Linked DNA regions of Danio rerio. The protein of the gene in region 2 interacts with the protein of the main gene of each other region in a biochemical or structural test. Links are inferred from orthologs where the notes say so. Each region holds a gene or a part of one and is shown on either strand. Other genes may lie near its edges.

Region 1 (8,640 bases), on a different chromosome or scaffold from region 2:
ATTTTAAAAAGAAATAAACCATTTCCTCATTATATACAAAAAAAAAATCGATTTAATCTGTAGGTAATGTTAAATATCTTAAAATATAACGTGCTAGGCAAAACGTTTTTTAAAAATATAAATATCAGCGTTACTGTTTTGTAGTAATAACATTATGAATTTTACCGCTAAATGCCTTATTTTTAAAAAGGGACAGGGGAAGAAGTCACTCGATGTGCTTGGCGCTGGGAGTTAGGCCGATCAGTCGTCTGATTTAACGTCACTGGAGAAGTTAATTTTTAATAAATAGCCGCTGTTTATTGATATTAAAGTGGGCTTAACCTTGTAGTACAAGTTGTAATATGGGATAAGAATTCGATTTCCTTCGTAAATGACAACGTTTAACAATTTCACAACGCATTCTTTAAATATGATTTCAGTACGTTAAGTAGTTTAGGACAAAAAAATAGAATATAAAGCTCTAATAACGATTAAGCAATGTAAAAAAAATAAATAAATAACATTCATTTGGTTGCATTTTCTATTATAGCCACTATGTGGCAGTAGACAATTGCTTAACAAAAAGGGCCTTACCTGCAATAGTACAAAAACAGTTGGTTCCTTCCTATACAAAAGCGAATTAGTGACCTCTCATATACAAAAATTACCTTTAGCACATTTATCCTACGTTTTGTAAACAAATTCAAACGTTTGAAAAAAAATCCCCAAAAAACATTAGTTAAAACTCCTGACCTGGCATTGGATTGTTCCAACTGGAGACAAAAACATCTTTAAGCAAGCATTGACACATGTACACAAGAAACTCCATGGGCCAAAGAGACTTTATTTCTGGTGTTAAGCTCCATCTTCAACATTGCAGGACGTTTGAGATACAAAATCCTTCACACTGATGGAAGACTGGTCTAACTTTAGTGCCACTACCGTTTGGGTGGAGTGTATGTTCCTTGATGTAGTTAAGATTATTGGTACTGGAGGAAGGGAGGACTGGTGGAGGCAGGGAAGGAGTTAAGTTAGGAGTCACGAAGTGTTCACTTCTGCTCAGGCATAAGGTCATCGATGGACTGGCCGGATTCCAGGCGTTTCTCCATCTCTACAAGCAGCTTAACTCCATCCACCACCATCTGAACCAGCTCAACCTCAGAGAAGCCCAGACGGTCTGCGTTGGAGATGTCAAACACACCACCTACTGCAGCAGTGTCAACTCCACCTGTTGAAGAGAGCAAGGTTAGTACTGGAGACCATTTGGTGTATAGGAGACAAAGCAGTTTAAAAGTGGAAAAAGTACCTGTTCCACGCTTTTGAAGCCGGAGTCGCTTAAGAATCTCACCAAACTTCTCATGCTTGCTTACGTTAGGGAGTTTGACATGAACGCCACCACGCAACCCTGTGCCCAGGTTGGAGGGGCAGGTTAAGACGTAGCCCAAGTGCTCGTTCCACATAAACTCATGGCCCTTCTCTTTAAACAGTTCCTCAATCTGCAACCACAAGTAAGAGGGTAAATTAAGAAATGCAGTGTATAGAAATGATTTAAAAGACAGATTATTTAAAAACAAACCTTTGTGAGGCCTGTGCAGAAGCGATTGAAGACTTCCCTCATGTTGCCACCTTTCTGCATGGAGATGACACGTAGATGGTCTTCCTCATTCACCCACACTAGGAATGTCTTATTGTCATTGTGCCTATGAAGCATTAAAAATAAATAAAAAATAATGTAGGAAGACCAACTAGAATTCAATGAGATGACCACTTTAAATAAAAATCGAATGGCAATGACGATTATTTTTATTATAATTTTAAATAAATTCTGTAAAACTATAATATAAACTTATATGCCAAAAGGCATCCATCTTGTAACTATATACAAATAAAAAAATAAATAATAATAATAATAATAATAATAATAATAATAATAATAAAAATAAATAAATAAAAAGCTAGCTACAAAGACGCGCTTACTCACCAGATCCCCCTGGCATCAGGCCAGTCACGGGCCATCCCAGAGGCCAGCAACAGTGGAGACACAGGCTTATCAAACAGGAAGTGGTCATCAATCAGCTGCTGCTGCTCCTCCTCCGTCATGTCCTTGAGGGCGTAGTACTTTCCTTTGAGATCACCATCAAGAGCCCCCAAAGCTGTGAAGTCAAAGGATAAGTCACAACCACCAAATCAACGGATACTTAAATCACATGGGTTTCTAACCACTCCTAAACCATTGCTCTCGACTTGACATGAAAACAAAAGCCTAAAGGAGCTCACCCTCGACAGACAGACTCTCGATACCGCGTCTCTCCCCACGGCTGCAATGAGGGGGGAGGCAGAAGCCGCGGATGCTCCTGCCGGTTCGTACTCTGGAGCTCAGAACGTAGTTGGGGTCAAGGTCATCTCCGCCCTATTAAAAGAAAACCAATGCCGCTAAATTAACCGCTGACTATTTTGAAACGTTAAACCCAATTAGATGCAGCAGACGGACAGACTCAATAGCATACCTTGAGGTTGTCTGGGTTCAGATCAGTCTTGTGCTTGTCTGTGGGTTTATATCCACCATGGCGGTCCTCAATGACGGGGTCCAGGAGCTCTTTAAACACATCGTATGTCTCCTCATCTCCGGCCACGCAGCCCACCGTCATGATGAAAGGATGTCCTGAAAGACAAAAATAAAAAACACAAGTCAGACAAAACCCCCAACTTTAGCGATTGAAAAACAAAAGAATTCTTTCAAATTTCTCATACGCTGATGGCAAACAGATTTTTCAGGGGCAAAAGCCTAATATAACCAAATCAAGCTTATCCTCGCATGGTTTGCCTTGCAGCAATCATGAGACGAGACAATTCTCCCTTTGTTGCGTGTAAACATAGCACCTTTGATCAAGTTCACTTTTTTTGCATGTGTAAAATACACAAAGTATAAAAACTAACTAAAATTATGCAATCAGACTGCAAAACATTTAGTATTTGTAATTAAATTACATTTTAAAAAGGCTCCAGTTACTTTAATTACATTAAACAAAATAAATAAATAAAAATAATAAATTTGTGCAACTTGGATAATTGTTGGTTAATTTAGGAAATACCAGCAAGTTAAAGAAGTCTGTCGATTGTGCGAAATGTTTGCTGTGATCCTGATGGCCTTATTTTCAATCTTCTGGGATTGTTTAAAAAGCCTCCCGATGAGCAGCGCAATACACCGATTGACCATAAGCCAACAGAACTGAAAAATGTGGAAATCTTGACTGGGTTTAACACCTTTGCTTGGTTGGGGGACATGGTTTCCAGTGTTAAACAAACATCCTAATGTTCATAGGGCATTGTCATTAGCTCAAGGCTGTAAATAACATTCAAGTTATTTTATTCGAATATCCATTCAGACATGAAGTACAGGTGTACAACTGTCAGATATAGATTAGCATTCAGGCTCACATCGATCACCCCTTCATTGGATTCTTTGCTTGTTCTGCCATAGTGTGTAATGGATTGAGACTTGCATATGGTCACATGTTCTAGTAAGCTGTTGGCCAACTCCACTTAGGTGATGAGTAAAATGTGACGCATGCCATAAAGCATATCTCAGTCACACACACGAGATAGGCAGGGCTGTCTACAGACCTTTAATATACTTCTGTAATACATTAATAGACCGACTTGCACCCTAAATAACATTATAGAAACCCCTTTTGGGGAAACCAACTTTAAATTAGGAGCATTTCATTGTAGATTTAGGCATCCATCTATTGGGTAGATTTAGACATCTATAAAACAGACTGGAATAGAAAACTACTATTAAAAAGCAATGCCTAACAGAAGAAAAACAAACATGGTAAGTCAAAAAAAAAATTTGTATTTTTTTAGGCCTTGTACTAGATCCACTAGTATTTGATGCATTTTCCTGTCACAAAATGAGATGTCACAGTATAAAAAAAAAAAATTAAAAATTTCACAAACCAAGTGTCAACTTGGCAATCGCACAGACCCAATATTGTGCAAGCTTCAAGATTGTACATACATTTTGCTTATAAAAGTGCTGATGTAAAAAAATTACTACATGAAACTTGCCACTGCCTACTTGGAAGAGCAGCCAACTATTAAAAAGAAAAAGAAAAAAAAAAAAAGTTATAAAAGGATCAAATCCAAGGTCATGCGAGATGACCTTAGACTACTAAAATGTGAGAAACTAAAACTTTAACTTAATGGGGGGGGGGAAATAAAAAATATAGACCGCTACACCAGAGGGCCACTGTTGAAAGACCCAGCAAATTAAGCGGATTATCGGTCAATGTGATTACACAATGAACCATAACCTTTGTTTGATTGCTTTCAAAAGGGCAAAATAAATAAGGACTACTGTTGTATACAACCATTTCATCATCAATAAACTCAGAAGTACCAGATAGCTAGTTTTTACAAGCTTCTGTTGAGAAGCTCAATTTTGTCAATAATTAAATCCCACTTGTATACTAAACAGACTTCATACACTGAAGGAGTTTGCTTGAGTTGCAGGGTTGGAAACCTGCCACTTGTATTGAAGAGAGGGACACGGTCATTGATTGTAGAAAGTATTTGATTGGAGAAATGTTGGTAGTAGGGGATGAGTCATCACTTTACCACAGATAAGGCAGACAACACCTCCCTCAGGTGCATTCTGCTAAATATACTGTAGGTTGTTGGCATATGGACGAGCAAATCTAACAAACGAGCTAGAAGCCACAACTCATTCGGACACAAAGTCTAAAACACTTGAAAGGGTGTGCACATCGCGTCCAGGTCCTTTACCTGGATTGTCAACTCCGGTTTGAATGACGTCATCCAGGGTAAATCCGCTGGGGGTTTGTTTGTCCCTAAGGTTTGCGTACATCTCGGGCGTCAGCACCTTCGCCATGTGGTTGTTGTGCTTGGTGAGGTCGGGATACTCCTGCTCGGCGGAGTAGTTCATCTTCAGCAGATTGTGAGTGTTACCGAAAGGCATGATTGCGTCTACCTGAGGGCAGAGAATTGGAAATAAGTGCATGTCAGAAGCGAAACAAATCCGATTCCAACACGAGGACAAAGCCAGCCCCTCTCAGCTGCATTAATAATGACGTAACAGCATTAAAAGCACATTTTGTACAACGGAGGATTTTGTTTAAACTCGCTTGAATGGTTTGAGCACTTAAACAGTCGTCGTGTATAACGGCAATTGTGCTCGGTGGCGCGTTGTGTCACGCGGGCAGTAAATATGATGGAATGTCGAGCGCGCGTCCGTTAAATGACGCGTCATATGATAAATGCGTTCACATGCATGTAGATTTCGCATCTTATGTAATGTCGTCTGTGCATTACGATGAGTTTGCAGTGAAATCATGTATTATTATTTGAAGCAAGCGAATGCGTAATGCGCCACGTCTCCAAAGACCTTGCAGAAAAAAGGAGGCTGACTGCAAGGTCGTTGCTGATGTTTGGGACAAAAGCACCTGGCCATGCACAGATCCACGTTAAGTTGGATTATAAATATCATTTAAATGGTTTACATGTTTATGTATTTATATTACTGGGCTCTCCAAACGATTAATAAACAGCATACGGAAACAAAGCGCACTGCAAATTGCGAGCAGAAGTTAAACACGAATTAGGCATGAATATAAATGCATTCCTTACGCTTAAATTATTAATACACAGCCCGTGAATGTTTGTTTTTACAAATCGATCTGGTAGATGTGTTACATCACATCTAATGAACGTAAATAAAAAAATAAAGGCTTGTTTTAATAATTTCAAGCAAAAACCATACCTTATACCGATTTTCTTTGGGAAAGCGGAATTAATCCTTCCTAAAGTCCACCAGAAACCACACAAAGACTGATAATGGTGTCCAGAAATAAGCCGCTTTGTGGGGTTTTTATATCAAGCCCGAGCTCTCCTCTGATTGGACGCTATTTGAGTCCATTCATTCTATTGGACAGCGCGTCGCATCACATCCACAACATCCAGTATTTGCTTACATTGATCACATGATGTTTTTCCTTGACGGCTCTCCTTGGCATGATTGACAATAAAAACTGTGGAATTCGATCACATTCATTTATTAATAATCATAGATGTTGTGTTTAGCATTTTAAAAAGAGGCAGTTGTGTTTATCATAAACAAATTCAACCTGTACTGATCAAGGGATGACCCAAATCAGATTTACTCAGTAAGAATCTATTAATGTATGACCTGAGCCCCAAAGTCTGACAATGAAGCATTGCTCATAATTCAGGGTGGATTTATCCTATAAACTCCATGTACAGTATCTGCCCGCCTTCTTTTAGTTCTCCATTTCATTACACAGTAATGAATCATCAGTTTGGCGTTGTGTGCGTGTGGTTTCATTTTTACAAGGAAACGAATTGTGTTTAACCTGTATTTTTGGTTTCATGTTGTTGTCCTCTGGACCATGTGAAGCTGAAATTGTCTACAAGCGCTTTGTCTTGTCAAGTGTCACATGATATGTTTGATATTATCTCTACACAAATGAATATGAAGTACTGTAACAAAATGCTTTGGTCTCTAAATAAAATCGCCAATCCTAAATAGTTTATATTTCAATGTAACTCAATCCTTAATCTAATTTACTATCTAATCCTCTATTCACTGACTTGTCAAATATCCAGTAGCATTCAAAAGTATGGGGTCAGTAATGTTTTTGTTGAATAAAATTAATACCCAATATTCAGGGGGCGTAGCGGACATTTTGAAAGTGGAGGGGGACAGCTAAATTTGATCAAAGTTTGCATTCATATAATTATTAATCACCTGTTTTTTTAATGATCTGCCTCTAAAAGTGAGGGGGGACGTCCCCCCTCATTGCTACGCCCCTGCCAATATCAGAAGAATTCATTAATTGATGTAACCCGTCATTAAATATGTCATGATTTTCAAAAAAACTGTTTACAAAAATAATAAAAATGCACGTTTTTATCTGCGGATCATAATATTAGAATGATTTCTGAAGGATCGTGCGACATCGAAGACTGGAGTAATGATAATAAAAATGTAGCTTTTACAACAGACTCTTTAACAATATTTCACAATATGCTAGTTTGTACTGTATTTATGGTCTAAACCAAACCAGTGACACAGACACTAAAATGTTGACATGTTCTATAACAGCCTTACATAAATATCTTACCAGACTTTGAAGCTTTGCTGTTTTAGACAGACTTTACCTCAGTGCTAATGAGAACCTGGTGAATTTCCTGGATTTAAGAGGCCACCTGGTTTCAAGGAAATGATATACTTGCTTCTGTGCTTGTTGCTATTAAGAGTTAAAGCTATGTTTTTACTGGAGACACCGCTTTAGTCTCCTGTGTACAGTAAGCTCTGCGAGGAGCTTAACCGTGGGCTCATGGAGAGACATCCATGCTGAGCAGATAATGCCATCGCCACTGTGCATGACTTTTACTGCAGTTCAGTGCTGTTTCTGCTGCCTTTACCTCCTGCTTTGTCTGAAATTACACATTGTATTATACTGTCATTTGTGCAATTATAAACTCACACTTCCTGTTTCTCTTTACCATCCTAGAACGTACAGTATGGCCACCCCTGTTTTTCTCTGTTGCCGGCATCACTGAAGTACGACACACGTTTAACCACATCTAGATTTAAATGCTGGATTATTATAACCTGTACACGTCATGATGTGTAGATTTGAACATAGCATTAGCATAACAATGTGTACACTTTTCACGATGTCCTGTTTTGAATTTAGCATTAGCATAGTAAACATTTCATGATATCTAGATTTGCGCTTAGCATTTGCATAACAAATTGTGCATATTTCATAATGTCTGGACTTGAACTTAGCATTTGCATCACCTGCACATTATCATTGACATCTTGATTTGAACCTAGCATTAGCATATTATCTCGTACACATTTCACGATGCTTCATATTAGCATTAGCTAATGGGCAACAAAGAAAGAGCTTTCACTTCCATATTTTCTTTGAAATATTGTACAAATTCTTTGATAGAAATGTGCAATCAGAAAAAGAGAGAATGTGTCTCGACTGAAGCCCAAGGCTGTGTCTGATGAGTATTCATGATGGCAGTGTTTCCCCCCCTCAACCCTGTGAAGTGTTTTTTTTTTCTCCCAGGTTCAGGGAGTGCATCGTAGTGCAGCAGTCACATTTTGACAGGGTGAGACCAATGCTGAGAGTGCTGATGTCAAAGAGAGTCCACTGCAGAACGTTTTGCTTTTCACCACTACATTTTTATAAATGCAAAACAATGGGCTGAATGCTGCAAGGATGACAACAAAACTCAGAAGACTAATTTGCAGCTGGTTCTCTTGAGATTTTCCTATGGGGAGCTTTTTAATTAATGAGTCAAATAAATTGTGTGGTAAGCATATGTTGACTAGTTATCTAATTGTATCTAATTATTTTTTAAAACTAAACACAACAGCTTTAAAATTCTAGTTTTGGATATGGATGTGTGTGATTTACTTTCCAAGTATCGTTGACTTGCATTTACCACAAGACCTTACATTAATTGAAAAAACCCATTATGAATTCCTGTAGGAAAATTTAGAGGGAACCAGTAGTGAGTTAATCAACTGGGTTTACGTCATCCCTGCAACCACTCTATATTGATGGACACACAGCACAGCATGTATACTAAAGCACA
Region 2 (4,131 bases):
AATCTCCCTGGCAAACCTTCCATAATAGCAGCATCACATTCAACTACTCCTGTGGCATTTGGAAATCCTCCTCTGCCACCAACAATATGTCGTCCAGTGTCTAAGTCATCTTCAACTTCTAAAAGCAAACAAGCAAACAAAACACTTATGCGTTTATACCACTAATACTCGTTGTTGTTGTTAAAAACTAAGTTGCCTATTACTTATACATGGCATCATTAAAATACATATTATATAAAGTCTGCTAAATTTTTTAATAACGTTATGCAAATAAGATAGATAAGGAGAAAGATTTATCTAACAACTGAATCAGTAATAAGAATAGTATTTTAATCCATCGTTCACAAGAGGTTCCAGCCGACTTTAAATAATAAAAGTCCATGCAGTTGGCTGATGATAGCGCAAACAGGTGTCAGATTTACCTGCCATTGCAGTTTCTACAACATCTGTAGCGTTTTGTCCAGCTAGCAGCAAACTTCTCATTCTGTCCACTGCAGGGCGAGAGAAAGACCATGTTCCCACAGCTGCCATTTGACACAAATGTATTGAAATACATCTATTTATGTACAGGAAAAGTTCGTTTCCATCGTTTGTAAGACTTTAAAACACAGTTTTACGTCCGGGGGTTATTAAAGCACAATTTCAAAATAAAAGTCTATGCGTTACAAAGACAGTTTAAAGGGCCATACTATGCATAATGTACACAATGTGTCATTTTTAAAGTGACATAAACTGACTTTTTGACATGGCCTGACTTTCAATAAAATTTGTATTTTGATTCAATTTCATACATAATTAAGCAATAATGCAGTGATTTGAATTAATGCACAATAATGTATATTGCAATAATACGTTAAAGATTTTAGATTTATTTATTGTAAAAAAAATATAAAGAAAACAATAGGTACATTTTTAACGTTTACCCTTTTTGCACAATAAAACGACTATTTCAATGTGGTCATGTCATTGGCCCAAGTATGAACATTTTCCTGCTTGTTATCATACTATTTCATAACTGTAATGTTAGGCAATTCAATCATAAATTAACATTAAAACAGCTGTCATAACCTTATTTAGCAATATGTATTCACCAGTTTTGCATTCTCTGAAACTATAGAAATTAAAAATGTAAAACAGGAAATACATCGGGATCATTGTTCTTGTTTACATCCATCAAAATGGTATATAAAATATATATTTTTTGTATTGAAGCATATAACTGACAAGCATACAGGATTATATGTAAAATATCACAAATTTGATTTGAACATGCGAGCTAATAGTGCACCGGAAGCGCATATTAAAGACGGCGGAAGTTGTTGTGAAGTCTCATGTTTTGCGCGCTCCCTGCGCTTCTGGAACTATTCAGCTCGTAGCCAACCGGTGGATCCTGCGAATTATCGGTTTGTTTGGCTGTCCTTTGATCTAACACTGTTTCTAGACGGAGAACTGTATTACAAGTGTTAACTGCTTGGGTTTTTAACGAACATATTAAAGTTAGCTCCAAAATTAGCCTCGCTAAACACGCTGTGCTGCATTCCTGTTCTGCTCACTATCACCTCTTTAACATTGTCAACTCTGTTCTCTTGAATGGGAATTCTATTATTTAGTGTTTCTGTAGGTCCTCGTACTGTTGGTCAATTTACGTATTATACTTTCTTTATAAATCCAGAATAACGTTACTGTGTTCTTTTAATTTAACGTTCAGATATTGCATTAAATTTTCTCTTGTGCATGTCTGTTTATTTAGGTGCACTTGGGATTTTTATAATCGTGTCTGCACTGTTGTGTGTAATCGGATTTTTAATATTTGTTAATTTGTATCTTTTTTTCGTTCATTTTAGTTTACGTCTTTTGGAGCCACTGAAGTTTTATAGGGAAGCCCTGAACCACTGCTCTGTTGTTTTGCTTCATAACCCGTCAGCATGGAGCAGAACAACAGCCTACCTCCTTTCGCTCAAGGTCTGGCATCTCCACAGGTGAGGAATGGATTGTTTAGTTAACGGGATTTTCCCAAAAATGACATTTCTTCATTTACCTATACTCAAGTGCTTATAAACATTTATAAACGTCTTGCTGTGGGTGAACAGAAAACAAGATATTCTGAAGAATTCTGTGGAAACATAAAAAGATACAGGAACAAACTCCAGTAGCCATTTTTTTTACATTTCAGTAGAGATTTGTAAAAGTTGGTTGGGTTGCACTATAATGGAAAAGTCGGATATTGCGATACTTTGTTTTTCTATGCTAAATAAAGCAATACGAATACCATTTCACAAGATGAATGAGTCTATCAGTATTCAGGTGCAGAAACTGAATAACCACAGTAGAAAAAAATGCTTTTCTTACACTGTCTTGTTTCCAGTCCAAATATAAAAAAAAATTAGTAAAGTAAAAAAATTGTTTTGTTTTCACTGTTAGTAGAAATATTAAGTGATTTTCCCTAAAACAAGCTAAATAATCTGCCAGTGAGGTGTTTTTTTCCATAAATTATAAATTTCGTATAAAGACTCGGTCAGTGAGGCTAAATCTAAATATTTTTCAAATTTGATTACTAAAAGTGCAAGTAAGCCAAAAGTCCTTAAAACTATTAAAAAATAGTCCTTAAAACTATTAATTCAGTTCTTAATCCAACTATGTGCTCTGTTCCTGTTGTCAATCTGGAGACGTGCATAAAGTTCTCTGACTTTTTTACAAGATATTAAATCACACCTCTTTCCCACCGACATAGATCATTCTGATTCGGTCCCTCCATCCAACAGTTTCACAAATTTTCAGCCTGTATCTTCTTCTCAGCTACTTAATAAAATTTTTCAGATGAAACTCACCTTTTGTCCTTCAGATGTACTGCCTTGCCGTCTTTTTCAAGAGGTTTTAGATACAATCTGCCCCTCACTCTTAGCTTTAATAAACAGCTCCTTAATAAACAGGGTTTTTCCAGATGTCTTTAAACATGCTGTTGTAAAGCCTCTATTAAAGAGGCCTAATCTTGATCCCGCTGTGCCTGCCCACTACAGGCCCATATCTAAGCTCTCATTTTTCTCAAAGGTTTTAGAGAAAATTGTAGTTTCACAATTAACCTGGACATTTTTAATATTCTAGACCCTTTACAATCTGGTTTTAGAGCAAAACACAGCACTGAGTCTGCACTACTAAAAGTCACAAATGACATTTTACTCTTCATGGATTCTGGATCATCTGCGATTTTAATACTTTTAGACCTAAGCGCTGCTTTTTATACCGTAGATCACAACATATTATTGAAACGACTTGAGTGTGTTGTTGGGGTTCAGGGCCTTGCCTTGCAGTGGTTCTCCTCATATCTAAAGGGGAGATCTTTTTCTGTAAATATTGGATCCTTTACTTCACCACCTAAACCTATTCATTGTGGTGTTCCACAAGGATCTATTCTTGGCCCTCTTTTATTTTCTCTTTATATGCTTCCTTTAAGCTCAATACTCCTCAAACATAACATAAGCTATCACTGCTATGCTGATGATCTCCAACTATACTTTCCAATCAAACTAGGAAAAGATTTATCATTAGAAAATATTTTCCTATGCCTTACCGACATTAAGACCTGGATGACAAATAACTCTCTGCAACTAAACAAGAATAAAACAGAAGTGTTAATTTTAGGTCCTGCTGCTACCAACAATTCAATTAAAACTTAGCTAGGAGCCCTAAACGACAATCTGCACAATCACGTCAAGAATCTCAGAGTTATCTTTGATCCACTCTTGCAGTTTGACAAACATGTAAATGCGGTTGTGAAGAGCAGTTTGTTCCAGCTTAGATTGGTGGCAAAAGTTAAACCCTTTCTTTCTAAAAAAGATTTAGAAATCGTAACCCATGCTTTAATCTCCTCTCGGTTAGACTACTTCAACTCTTTGTACATTGGCCTACCTCAGTCAACACTCTTTCGGCTACAGTTGGTCCAAAATGCAGCCGCCAGATTAATAACAGGAACTAAGAAAAGAGATCATATCTCCCCTGTCCTCGCCTCATTGCACTGGCTACCTATAAAATACAGGGTTGCTTTTAAAATTCTTCTTTTCACTTATAAAGCTTTGCACAATTCTGCCCCCGCCTATGTCAGCGAGCTTATTAGGCCATATACAGCTTGTAGAC

What was found.
Region 1: the proteins of tbp (region 2) and brf1b form a complex in vitro, tested with the Homo sapiens proteins (2 studies listed by BioGRID). The link is inferred for Danio rerio from reciprocal best matches to the Homo sapiens genes TBP and BRF1.

Annotation. Positions count from the first base shown.
Region 1 is NC_133195.1:23,360,623-23,369,262, forward strand, and holds the start of brf1b (transcription factor IIIB 90 kDa subunit), read left to right. Parts: upstream 1-3,572; 5' UTR 3,573-3,814; intron 3,815-4,767; coding exon of another isoform or gene 4,768-4,960; exon of another isoform or gene 4,961-4,972; intron 4,973-5,761; exon of another isoform or gene 5,762-5,830; intron 5,831-8,640. Other genes in the region: ckbb (creatine kinase, brain b), read right to left, coding at 1,029-1,207, 1,286-1,475, 1,556-1,679, 1,961-2,132, 2,257-2,389, 2,487-2,641, 4,768-4,960.
Region 2 is NC_133188.1:27,610,667-27,614,797, reverse strand, and holds the start of tbp (TATA-box-binding protein), read left to right. Parts: upstream 1-1,331; 5' UTR 1,332-1,403; intron 1,404-1,844; 5' UTR 1,845-1,925; coding exon 1,926-1,979; intron 1,980-2,828; exon of another isoform or gene 2,829-2,913; intron 2,914-4,131. Other genes in the region: zgc:153169 (uncharacterized protein), read right to left, coding at 1-118, 423-483. UniProt on the Homo sapiens protein: The TFIID basal transcription factor complex plays a major role in the initiation of RNA polymerase II (Pol II)-dependent transcription.